Saccharomyces cerevisiae S288C: one gene and its partners. The gene in region 1 interacts genetically with each later gene. Each region holds a gene or a part of one and is shown on either strand. Other genes may lie near its edges.

Region 1 (3,581 bases):
CCGCCTCCAGGGCACATTATGATTACATCCGTTCCATTGATACTTCACTCCTACCCTAGAGGGTTTGAAAGGATATGGAAAAAACATAGAATCATTTAATGCGTCACCAATATGAGAAATGGAATATATTCCTAAGTATTGAAACCAGCAATTTTCGGTATTATAACCAACATTCTCTTTGATAGCTTTGCTAGAAATTTCTTCAATTTTTTGTCTTACAGAGCGAATAAAATCCAGTTCCAGTGCTTGTTCTTCTAGAAACCTAACATGCGAGTCCTTAGTACCTTGTTGTTTCTGTAAGCAACTGAAGCAGGTCCAAACGACGTCTTTGTTCGGCTTCCTGTCAAGTGGCGGATCCATACAGTATAGATGTGCACAAACGCCGCATTCATCACATGAAAGGCTCTCCTTTTGGATACACCATTCTTTACAGAACTGACATCTTTTATCCCATTGGTAGTCTGCAGGACTTAATTCGTTTACCTCTAGTTCATGGAAAACGTATTTCTTCAAAACGTTCTCCAATGGATACTTCGGTTCTGTATAGATATAACGAAATCTCCTATTCAAAACATAAAGAAATGGCGACTTACTGTTCCATTTATTTAATATTTTATCCGTGCTGTAAACTTTGTAATATTTCAAAGTATATCTGTCAAAAAGTTCATCAAAGTAAAAGATATTGGGTCGTATAATGCATTCCTTCTCATTAGGAAGAACATCAAAAACTTCGTCTTTATGAAATATACTACATTTTCCCCTGTATGATGAAATAGGACATATGTCCTGGTGTAATGATGCATACACCAACCTTGGGTTAAAAGTATTTACGTGCTCTTGAATATCCCTAGGACGATAAAACCAATTCATTCTAACTTGAAAAAATTTAGCAGGGAAGACCGATGTTGTCTTTATAGCTTCATGAATAGTGTTAGAAAATTCTGGTTTACTAACAAAATTTACAACTCTGCCAACATAATAAGGCTCGCCAGCAGGCTCTGATATCATATAAATAGTGTCGTTCGCAGATAAAAGGACAGATTCTGTATTGAAAAGAGACATCTTTTTCAAGTCAATCATGGCATCATCTAGATCAAGTATGTTAGAGAATCTGCTATTCTTTCTGAACGAAGGGGGTAATGTAGGGATAAAGTTCCAGCAAGTATTCTTATCATGAAGGAATTTTTGGTACTTGAATTTCTCGTTTCTACTAGCTGGATTGCTTGTCCTTTTACAATTCCTGGGAGTTTGGCTATTGCTACCCTTGGTCTTAGCACCACTTTTTTCCGCTATTTGTATTTGTTGAACTAATTTAGTATCTATTTCCATTTCATTATAATTCACGTTTTTAGCAGCCTCTCTTCTTCTAGGTAATTGGAAATCTTCTTCTTTAGGCATAGCGTGACCAGCTGAAAGGCAGATGATCTCAATATGTCCCGATAGGCCAATTTTGCCACCAGATAGTTCGATGGCATTTTATTTTTAGTCCTTTTGAAAGCAATATCATAAAATATATATAGTTCTCCATGATGTTCGGGTCAGTCGCTCCGAAGCGTAACCTAGTATAATAAATAGTTCATTGCAGAAAATAACGAAAGAAATGGTGGAATACGATCTGTTATATCTAAACTAAAGCTAACTAACGGAATAAGCAAATACGAATCGACCGCTAATTTAACAAATATGGTTTTAGCAATGGAAAGTAGAGTGGCACCGGAAATTCCTGGGCTCATTCAACCTGGGAATGTCACGCAAGACTTGAAGATGATGGTCTGTAAATTATTGAATTCCCCAAAACCTACGAAAACATTCCCTGGTTCCCAGCCTGTGTCCTTTCAGCATTCTGATGTGGAAGAGAAGCTGCTTGCGCATGATTACTACGTTTGTGAGAAAACAGATGGTCTGCGGGTGTTGATGTTTATAGTGATAAATCCTGTGACGGGTGAGCAAGGATGCTTTATGATTGATAGGGAAAATAACTATTATCTGGTTAATGGATTTAGGTTTCCCAGATTACCCCAAAAGAAGAAAGAAGAGCTGCTAGAGACTCTTCAAGATGGCACCTTATTAGATGGTGAACTTGTCATACAAACTAACCCAATGACAAAATTACAAGAGTTGCGTTATTTAATGTTCGATTGTCTTGCTATCAATGGTAGATGTCTCACACAATCACCAACAAGTTCTAGACTAGCCCACCTTGGAAAAGAATTTTTTAAACCATACTTCGATTTAAGAGCAGCGTACCCTAATCGTTGTACTACTTTTCCGTTCAAAATTTCCATGAAACATATGGATTTCAGTTACCAATTAGTAAAAGTTGCTAAAAGTTTAGATAAACTACCACATCTTTCTGATGGTCTGATATTTACTCCTGTGAAGGCACCTTACACTGCCGGCGGAAAAGATTCATTGTTATTAAAATGGAAGCCAGAACAAGAAAACACCGTGGACTTCAAATTGATTTTAGATATCCCAATGGTGGAGGATCCTTCTTTGCCTAAAGATGATCGGAACAGGTGGTATTACAATTATGACGTTAAGCCAGTTTTCAGCTTATATGTCTGGCAAGGCGGAGCTGATGTCAATTCACGTTTAAAACATTTCGACCAGCCTTTCGATAGGAAGGAATTTGAAATATTAGAAAGAACATACAGAAAATTTGCAGAGTTGAGCGTTTCAGATGAGGAATGGCAAAATTTGAAGAACCTAGAACAGCCATTAAATGGTAGAATAGTAGAGTGCGCAAAAAACCAAGAGACTGGGGCGTGGGAAATGTTAAGATTCAGGGATGATAAGTTAAATGGTAATCATACATCGGTGGTCCAGAAAGTTTTGGAGAGTATCAACGATTCAGTTTCATTGGAGGACCTCGAGGAAATTGTTGGTGATATTAAAAGGTGCTGGGACGAGAGAAGAGCAAATATGGCTGGTGGTAGTGGGAGACCACTACCGTCTCAAAGTCAAAATGCGACATTATCTACCTCTAAGCCAGTCCATTCACAGCCCCCAAGTAATGATAAGGAGCCAAAATATGTAGACGAGGATGATTGGTCGGATTAGGCTAAGAAGTGTTCGTATCGACATATATCGGTGTAAGAATTTTGTGTATGAATAAGATAGAAAAGCAAAAGCAATTGCTTTTGCTAAATTAATTCAGTTAGTTATCTATTTATATGTACATGAGAAATGGGAGAATTTTGAGAAGCGAGGGTGAAAGTGTTATATACGCATATACATGTATATATATGCGCATGCTTATCACCTATGGGAAAGGACTAAACTTTTCAATAATTCTCTTGGGTTACCGTTACCACTTAGGAAATATTTTTCGTCAATCAAGTTCTCCCACTTTTTTCCTGTGATATCCTTGTCTAATAAAACATTTGATTGTTTGTAGTAATCGATTAGTTCGTTAACTTCCTGTTTGTTCAGTTTAGGAACCTCGAATTCGGTGACATTACCTTTTTGGAGCAATTCTACGAACTTCGGTTCATAGTGATATCTAGTAACATAGGGGTCTACTGGGATCTTGCCCAATGCCACGGGTAAAGTTTTGTTTGTCCTGTCAACGCCGGATA
Region 2 (4,535 bases), on another chromosome or scaffold:
GTAACAGGAATTGAATCTCCTTACCATCTTTTGGCTTAATTTTTTCAGCTTCTCTTTCAAAGACGTGGATAAATGTGTTACCAATAATCTTTCTCTTCTTTTCTGGGTCAGTGACACCCTTCAATTTACTTAAAAATTCTTCGGAAGCATCGACAACCATCAAGTTGATACCTAAACCTTCGACAAGGGTCTTTTTAACGTTAGCAGCTTCATTTAATCTCAAAACACCGTTATCGACCAAGATGGCATGGAATCTATCACCGATGGCTTCTGTCATCAATTTGGATGCAACAGTAGAATCAACACCACCGGAAACAGCACCAATGACTTCAGCAGTTGGACCGACCAGTTTTCTGATTCTGTTTATTTCAGTGTCGATAAAGTTTTCCATAGTCCAGTTTTGCTTAGCGTGACACAAATCAACGGCGAAGTTTTTCAAAAGAGTCTTACCTTGGGTAGAATGTGTAACTTCTGGGTGGAATTGAATACCATAGATTGGCTTAGTTTCGTGGACAATACCACAGTATGGGGAGTTATCGGAGGTGGCAATGGTCTTGTAACCAGTTGGCAAGCCGTGCAATTTATCACCGTGAGACATCCAGACAGTAGAGTCGTTCATACCTTTGAATAGAGAGTTGGAATCGTCAATCACCTTCAAAGTGGCAGGACCGTACTCTCTCTTGTCACCACGACCAACTTGTTTACCATTAATCCAAGCCAATTCTTGCATACCGTAACAGATACCCAGGATTGGAACGTTCAAATCAAAGATAGCATGGTCTACGTGTGGAGCGTCTTCAGCGTATACGGAATATGGACCACCAGAAAGAATGACACCCTTTGGAGTCCAGCCCAACTCAGAGATCTTCTGAGTGCATGGCAACATCTCAGCATAGATGTTAAACTCTCTTAATCTTCTGGTAATCAAATGAGAGTATTGAGAACCAAAGTCTAACACTAAGATAGTGTCAAACATGTTAGAAACTTGTTCACCGGCAGCCATTGTGAATATTGATGTCGTTAGTTTATTTTAGAATATAGATATTACCTACCAAATGACCCAGGGAAGTTAAACTACAACGAACGCAAGCTAATTAGAGACTACCGTGACCGAAACTATAACTCAACTAATGTTTTATAACTGTGAAATGAAAATGAAACTGAAAAAATGATAAAAAAAAGAAATATTTTTTCTCGATGCTCATCGCCAAAGAAAAAAAAAATTTTCATTTCCTGCAAGCAAGAAAAAGAAATGACGGCATGAAAAGAGTCAAAATGTCGGGAACCGAAGCCATTGTAGGGGAGCGAGAGGATGAAAGCATATTCCTGTCACCAACGTCACGAAGAAATGAGTCGGCTACTTGACAACCTTGTTTTTTCGCTGTTAAACATAATTAAAGGTTCTATTTGGCAACACCTCATAATTATATCACTATCCACGTGATATTAAATCGTTACGGACGAGCCTATATTATTTCCGGATTTTTTTCTAATTTCTTTTTCTATTTTTCTAAATCTTATCGTCGTTATTTATTTGAAAGAGAATAAACAATGAGTGTGGGCTATGAAAGAGCTATAGAGAAGTCACAGGATATAGAGGGATCTATTTGTAGCTGGCAAGTTAATAGAGATTGGAAAACTGATTCAAAATTGTTAGATCACCTGGCGCTGAGAAATAATTGTGTTTTTTGGTATAAATAGACACCCCCTTTTGAGGTTGAAGAGATAGAGTAAAGAAGAAGTGTAGACATTAATGGGTTCATCAATTAACTATCCTGGGTTTGTGACTAAAAGCGCTCATTTGGCTGACACTAGTACGGATGCGAGCATTTCATGTGAGGAAGCAACAAGCTCGCAGGAAGCGAAGAAGAATTTCTTTCAAAGGGATTATAACATGATGAAGAAGGCGCCTGCTCCAACGAAGTCTAAACTGTCTTTGGCCTTGCAGACTTCCAAGTCATCCTCTAGTGCCAACGGTACTGTACAAGAGGATACTTCCTCGAAGACAGAAGATTTTTCTACAAAGAGCATTAAGAAAAAACCAGATAGCGGCGTTGAATCGCATGTGTCCATCCAATCGGATTCGGGGCCACAATCAGACTCAGATTTGGATTCAGATTCCTCTATCTCATCATGTGACGAAAGGAACGAAGAGTCTTTGAAAGATTACAGGCCGGGTGGGTACCACCCTGCCTTTAAGGGCGAGCCCTATAAGGATGCACGCTACATTTTAGTAAGAAAGCTGGGATGGGGCCACTTCTCCACCGTTTGGTTGGCAAAGGATATGGTAAACAACACTCACGTTGCTATGAAGATTGTTCGGGGCGACAAAGTTTACACAGAAGCTGCTGAAGACGAAATTAAGCTTTTGCAAAGAGTGAATGACGCCGATAATACAAAGGAGGATTCCATGGGGGCTAATCATATTTTGAAATTGCTAGATCATTTCAACCATAAGGGCCCCAATGGCGTCCATGTGGTTATGGTATTTGAAGTCCTCGGCGAGAACTTACTGGCTTTGATAAAGAAGTATGAACATAGGGGCATTCCATTGATTTATGTCAAGCAAATATCGAAGCAGTTACTGCTTGGTCTTGATTACATGCATAGGCGGTGTGGTATTATACACACAGATATTAAACCAGAAAACGTGTTGATGGAGATTGGAGATGTTGAGGGTATCGTTCAAATGGTCGAGGCACTGGATAAACAGAAGAGAGAGGCAAAAAGGTTGCAGAGGCACGTTTCGCGGTCTTCTGATATTACCGCGAACGATAGCAGTGATGAGAAATGGGCAGAATGCCAAACAAGTATGCCCTGCGGCTCAAGCTCAAATTCCAAATCTCGTTCTATAGAGAAGGACTTGTCAAAAAGATGCTTTAGAAGACCTAGACGTCATACAATTATCACAGGGTCGCAACCATTACCTTCCCCAATTAGTTCATCAAATTTCTTTGAAATGAGGGCGCACTTTTGTGGTAGTAGTCACAATAGCTTTTCCTCCGTATCTGGGAATAGGAACATTCCATCTTCCATCAATAATAACAGTATTAATAATGGCATAGGCATTAAGAATAGCAACAATAGTTTCTTAAATTCAGTACCACATTCTGTGACCAGGATGTTCATAAATGAAGACAGTAATGATAACAACAATAATGATAATAGTAAAAATAAAAATAACAACAATAACAACAGTAACAACAATAATAACGAGGACATAATGAACACACCTTTGCATGAAGAGCAGCTGGCAGACTCTTTATCTACATTTGATATTTCCAATATATCACAAAGCTCCGATACAAATGGTCCATATATTTCTAATACTATGGATTCAAATTCAAACGTCAGTACCGATATCAACTCCCCAGAAAATTTGATTCAGATCAAGATTGCTGATTTAGGTAATGCTTGTTGGTATGACGAACATTACACGAATTCTATACAGACAAGAGAATACAGATCACCAGAGGTGTTACTAGGCGCCCCTTGGGGTTGTGGTGCAGATATATGGTCTACTGCTTGTCTAATTTTTGAATTGATTACCGGAGATTTTCTTTTCGAACCGGACGAAGGTCATTCCTACACTAAGGATGATGACCATATTGCACAAATCATCGAGTTATTGGGAGAATTACCATCATACCTTTTGAGGAACGGCAAATATACAAGAACTTTCTTCAATTCAAGAGGGCTTTTAAGAAATATCTCGAAATTGAAATTTTGGCCCTTAGAAGATGTTTTAACTGAAAAATATAAGTTTTCTAAGGACGAAGCCAAGGAAATATCTGATTTTTTGTCGCCTATGTTACAGCTAGACCCAAGGAAAAGAGCTGATGCAGGTGGCTTGGTTAACCATCCATGGCTCAAGGATACCTTGGGTATGGAAGAGATTCGGGTACCTGATAGAGAGTTGTACGGGAGTGGTTCCGATATCCCCGGATGGTTTGAAGAAGTCCGCGATCATAAAAGACATTGATTACCTTTATACCTTTATTTTGCCCTTGCCTTTTACTTTTTTTTCTGTTTAACCTCTTTTTTGCATACTTTAGTTCTCTGCTCAGTTGTTTATTTTTCAGTAGTTTTTTTGCAATTTTTTTTTTTTTTTTTACCAAAGTAAATTTGTAACACCTAGTATAATATTCTGAAGTAACAACAAAAGATTATGCTGATTCTCCTTTCTTTTATCTTTAGCGGTTTTTGAATCCATACTCGACATTTTTTGATTTTATTTTTTGCACCCAATGGTTGTCCTGGTGAAGGATGATGGGTGTGATACCTAAGCGTTTTTGATGAAAAGTTTACTATTTAAAAACATATAAATTGTTTTACATATGTTAAGATAAAAGAACACAAAAAAATAAAACGGTTGAAAACGAAAACAAGTCCATGGATGTTTCAAAAAAATACATGAGCAGCTCAGAGTAGAGCAGAAATCAGACCTGCAAATAATGCAAGGTATCCAGACTGACTAAAGGAAACATTAACAATATTTCCGACGCCTTTACTTTTGGAGCTGCTTGAAGCTGAAG
Region 3 (5,255 bases), on another chromosome or scaffold:
TGGAACGTCCACAACAACCGGCAATCATGTTTTCATTGCTGGTTTGGCCATTCAAGTTGCATCGATGGCCATCTTTCTTATGTTATGGTTTCACTTCCTTTTCCGTATATATATATCGGTAAGATGGGAACACATAAATTCTAGACCTATCTCATTGAGCCTCTTAAAGATATCGCAAACAGAAGTTGATTATTTATACAGGGAAAAGTTCCATTTTTTGAGACTCGAACCTAAACGTTGGGTTTTTCATTATTTTAATCTGGCAATAACCGTTGCGGTACTAACCATTTTTACCCGTTGTTGTTACCGTTTGGCTGAATTAGTTGTCGGTTGGGATGGCTATCTGATCACACACGAGTGGTATTTTATTATCTTAGATGCATTAATGATGGCCATCGCTACGGTCACTTTGACCATCTTCCACCCTGGATTTGCGTTTAAAGGTAGAAGCACCTCGATTCCAATCACACCGGGCCATGTTGATCCTGAAACTTTACCACATACTGACGATGTTGAAGATATCTTAGATACTTCGGATTCAAAACAATTTGATATTGAAAAGGAGGAATTCCAAGCAAGCATGAAATACCCGATTAGCACCTTCAAACAATTCATGTCCAAAATAGCTAACTTGTTTTCCTCTAAAAAGAAGGCTAAACTTTAGTGATACGTAGAATTTGAATGTCAATCTGATCGTTCATATGCATTTTTCAATTCTTACTTTTTTTCTCGAAGTTCCCGACTATGTTCTGTTTATTTTTTCTCCTATTCAAAAGAACCGGACAGCATTTTTACTTCCTTATATTTCGACATCGTAATATGTACATTTTTTAGTTCACAAGTATTTTTCCCCTTTCAATGCTTTAATCAGCCTTCAACGTCATACATACTTTCTATTTTGTTCCTGTGCCATCGTATAACTTTCCTCGTTTAGTGTTTTCGCCTCAGCTTAATGTAGATCACTGTTTTGACGTTCTTCCATTTTTGGGAACGAACTAAACTAAAAAAAAGAAAACTACAGAGTTTCCCATAGAGAACAGAAAATCCGCTATCGGCAGCTTATAGGGTCATATAATTATGGCGCACATAAGGAAAATAAATTTATTTGAATCAATCAACAGACCTATCTGTTGATATATGAAAGAGAGCAGGAGCGTTAGTTTACCTCCATAAACAGTAAAATTAAAGCAAAAAAGCGTAACTGCTGATTGAAGCCTATATCACCGGGCTAAAATCTTATATCGGTTAAGAAAGTGATTAATTTATAGATATGTTCACGAAATCTTTTCTATTCAAAGATTCACGAATTTTACTCGATTTTTATAGTATACTGAAACAAGTAGTTGTAAAATCAATTCACCAAAAAAGCTTTCCCCATCTCTGATGAAAAACTACGAAAAGTTTACTATCACATAATATCGGAAGTACGTTTTTAAGGCACTGCAATGTATTTTATAATCTTGAACATTTGGAGGTATATTACCTTACTTTCTCATCAGGTTGTATATTTGAGCGTCTCGGGAATGATAAGTCGGGTAACGAGAGTATCTAGATAAGATTTTCAGCTATGGCAATAAAAAACCAAACCTCATCGATGAACCTATTACAACATAAAGACATCCCGTAATAATTAGTGAGACAGGTTCTTCAAGGAAGTGCTACAGCCAAGTTTCGTAATATAATGGGTGTTCCGTCATTTTTCAGATGGCTATCTCGAAAATATCCAAAGATCATATCCCCAGTATTGGAAGAGCAACCTCAGATAGTCGACGGTGTCATATTGCCGTTGGATTATTCCGCCTCAAATCCAAACGGTGAGTTAGACAACTTGTATTTGGATATGAATGGTATTGTTCATCCATGTTCGCACCCAGAAAACAAACCGCCTCCAGAGACTGAAGATGAAATGCTTTTGGCAGTTTTTGAATATACCAATCGTGTGTTAAATATGGCTAGACCACGCAAGGTACTTGTTATGGCTGTTGATGGTGTTGCTCCTCGTGCCAAAATGAACCAGCAGAGAGCGCGTAGATTTAGGAGTGCTAGGGATGCTCAGATTGAAAACGAAGCCAGGGAAGAAATTATGAGACAGCGAGAAGAAGTTGGTGAGATAATCGATGATGCCGTCAGGAACAAGAAAACTTGGGATTCAAATGCGATCACTCCAGGCACCCCATTTATGGATAAGCTTGCCGCGGCCCTCCGTTATTGGACAGCATTTAAACTGGCCACTGACCCTGGTTGGAAAAACCTGCAGGTGATTATCAGTGACGCCACCGTCCCAGGTGAAGGTGAGCACAAAATAATGAATTTCATTAGGTCTCAAAGAGCTGATCCTGAATATAATCCCAACACAACGCACTGTATATACGGTTTGGATGCTGATTTAATTTTTTTGGGCCTTGCCACTCATGAACCACATTTTAAAATTCTAAGAGAAGATGTTTTTGCTCAAGACAATCGGAAAAGAAATAACTTAAAAGATACTATAAATATGACTGAAGAAGAAAAACAATTTCTCCAAAAACAAAATTCCGAACAACCTTTCTTGTGGCTGCACATAAATGTTTTGAGGGAATACTTGTCCGCTGAGTTATGGGTTCCGGGTCTTCCATTTACATTTGATTTAGAAAGGGCTATCGACGATTGGGTTTTCATGTGCTTTTTCTGTGGTAATGACTTTTTACCACATTTACCATGCTTAGATGTCAGAGAAAATAGTATTGATATTCTCTTGGATATTTGGAAGGTAGTACTACCGAAATTGAAAACGTACATGACCTGCGACGGTGTCTTGAACCTCCCTTCTGTTGAAACGCTATTGCAACACCTTGGCTCCCGTGAGGGGGATATCTTCAAAACTAGACATATTCAAGAAGCCAGAAAGAAAGAAGCTTTTGAAAGAAGGAAAGCGCAGAAAAATATGTCAAAAGGTCAAGACAGGCATCCTACAGTAGCTACGGAGCAACTGCAAATGTATGACACACAAGGAAATTTAGCAAAAGGTTCATGGAACTTGACCACCAGTGATATGGTAAGGTTGAAAAAGGAACTGATGCTTGCGAACGAGGGGAACGAAGAAGCAATCGCCAAAGTTAAGCAACAGAGTGATAAGAACAATGAACTGATGAAAGATATCAGCAAGGAAGAAATTGATGATGCTGTTAGTAAGGCTAACAAAACTAATTTTAACCTTGCAGAAGTTATGAAACAGAAAATAATAAATAAGAAACACCGTCTTGAAAAGGATAATGAAGAGGAAGAAATTGCTAAGGATAGCAAAAAAGTTAAGACAGAGAAAGCGGAATCAGAGTGCGATCTCGATGCAGAGATCAAAGATGAGATTGTGGCTGACGTAAACGACAGGGAAAACTCTGAAACTACAGAAGTATCAAGAGATTCACCAGTCCACAGCACAGTGAATGTCAGCGAAGGTCCCAAAAATGGGGTCTTTGATACAGATGAATTTGTCAAACTATTCGAACCTGGTTACCACGAAAGATATTACACAGCTAAATTTCACGTTACTCCTCAAGATATTGAACAGTTAAGAAAAGATATGGTAAAATGCTATATCGAAGGGGTCGCCTGGGTACTAATGTATTACTATCAAGGTTGTGCCTCTTGGAATTGGTTCTATCCGTACCATTATGCTCCTCTGGCAACAGATTTCCATGGGTTTTCTCACTTGGAGATAAAGTTCGAAGAAGGTACTCCATTTTTACCTTACGAACAATTGATGAGTGTTTTACCAGCTGCATCTGGCCATGCTTTGCCAAAAATTTTCCGGTCTTTGATGTCTGAACCTGACTCTGAAATCATTGATTTTTATCCTGAAGAATTTCCCATAGATATGAATGGTAAGAAGATGTCCTGGCAAGGCATAGCGTTGCTACCATTCATCGATCAGGATAGACTGTTAACAGCTGTTCGTGCACAATATCCTTTACTTTCTGATGCTGAGAGGGCAAGAAATATTCGCGGAGAACCTGTTTTATTAATAAGTAACAAGAATGCTAATTATGAGAGGTTTTCGAAGAAATTATACTCAAAGGAAAACAACAACAACAATGTTGTTGTGAAGTTTCAACACTTCAAGAGTGGTTTAAGTGGTATTGTATCAAAGGACGTTGAAGGTTTCGAATTAAATGGGAAAATTGTATGTCCGATTCAAGGTGGGTCACTGCCAAATTTATCTACCACCTTGATTTTAAAGATGTCCTATAGATTAATTCCGTTGCCATCGAGAAATAAGTCTATTATACTGAACGGGTTCATTCCGTCAGAACCGGTACTAACAGCATATGACCTTGATTCCATAATGTACAAGTATAATAACCAAAATTACTCCCGTCGCTGGAACTTTGGTAATGATTTGAAGCAAAATATTGTTCCAGTAGGACCAAAGGGTATTACTCAGTACAAACCAAGAACTGGTGGCTATCGAGCATTCTTTTATTTTGCTGAGCTCAGTAGAAATAATGTCCAACCCGCCCACAACTATGGTAGGAATAGCTACAACAGTCAACCCGGCTTCAACAATAGCAGGTATGATGGTGGAAACAATAATTACAGACAAAATTCAAATTACAGGAACAATAACTATTCCGGAAATAGAAATAGTGGACAGTACAGCGGCAACAGCTACTCTCGGAATAACAAGCAAAGTCGGTATGACAATTCAAGAGCAAATAGGCGTTAGAACTACTCGTGCGCATTTTATTTTATGGTAAATTTAGGTTTTCGCAAATTTATAAAATCTTCATACAATTAAAAAAAAGCTCTTTTAAGATAATAGTGTCTGCTCTTACAAACGACGAACAGTAATATTTTATAACAAAAAATGGAACATATTAAGTTAAGAGAAAATCATGCTGAAGCATGAATATATGAATATACGTCCTCTTGTAAAATAGCGAAATCCTTGTAAGCCAATAGACCGAACTCTATTTTGATTTATACGCTTCGTGTATTTTTTCTTCCAGATCCAGGAGAAAAAGCATGGTCTGTTCTTCTTTTTTGAAAAGAGAGGCAGTCCACGGCGAAAGTTTCGAATACGGCACTACCTTTTTTTTCTAAGTTCCTAAACTTAAAATCAAATTTGGTCTTTGGTCTGTTATCATCCAGGGATGAATGCAACATATTGGGAAGTTCATGCTATACAACGCCAACCCCTTCGCTCAAGTCACGAAAGCACATCTTACACTTCCTCCTTGGCCAATATGCAAGCGTCCTCTTCAAAAAATCTTGCAACA

Evidence for each region. Genes that interact genetically often act in the same process or in processes that back each other up.
Region 2: mutations in CEG1 (region 1) and SKY1 together harm fitness more than expected from each alone (negative genetic interaction), as found in Saccharomyces cerevisiae (2 studies listed by BioGRID).
Region 3: mutations in CEG1 (region 1) and RAT1 impair growth when combined (synthetic growth defect), as found in Saccharomyces cerevisiae (2 studies listed by BioGRID, with this or other methods).

The regions. Positions count from the first base shown.
Region 1 is NC_001139.9:264,462-268,042, forward strand, and holds CEG1 (mRNA guanylyltransferase), read left to right. Parts: upstream 1-1,683; coding exon 1,684-3,063; downstream 3,064-3,581. Other genes in the region: DNA-binding E3 ubiquitin-protein ligase SNT2, read right to left, coding at 1-1,398; mitochondrial 37S ribosomal protein mS29 RSM23, read right to left, coding at 3,262-3,581. UniProt on the Saccharomyces cerevisiae protein: Second step of mRNA capping. Transfer of the GMP moiety of GTP to the 5'-diphosphate terminus of RNA via a covalent enzyme-GMP reaction intermediate.
Region 2 is NC_001145.3:698,258-702,792, reverse strand, and holds SKY1 (serine/threonine protein kinase SKY1), read left to right. Parts: upstream 1-1,753; coding exon 1,754-3,982; downstream 3,983-4,535. Other genes in the region: GUA1 (GMP synthase (glutamine-hydrolyzing)), read right to left, coding at 1-1,003; GAS3 (putative 1,3-beta-glucanosyltransferase), read right to left, coding at 4,423-4,535. UniProt on the Saccharomyces cerevisiae protein: Constitutively active kinase, specifically and sequentially phosphorylates serine/arginine (SR)-type shuttling mRNA binding proteins in their RS dipeptide repeats.
Region 3 is NC_001147.6:418,077-423,331, reverse strand, and holds RAT1 (ssRNA exonuclease RAT1), read left to right. Parts: upstream 1-1,681; coding exon 1,682-4,702; downstream 4,703-5,255. Other genes in the region: phospholipid-translocating ATPase RSB1, read left to right, coding at 1-664. UniProt on the Saccharomyces cerevisiae protein: Possesses 5'->3' exoribonuclease activity. Required for the processing of nuclear mRNA, rRNA and small nucleolar RNA (snoRNA) precursors.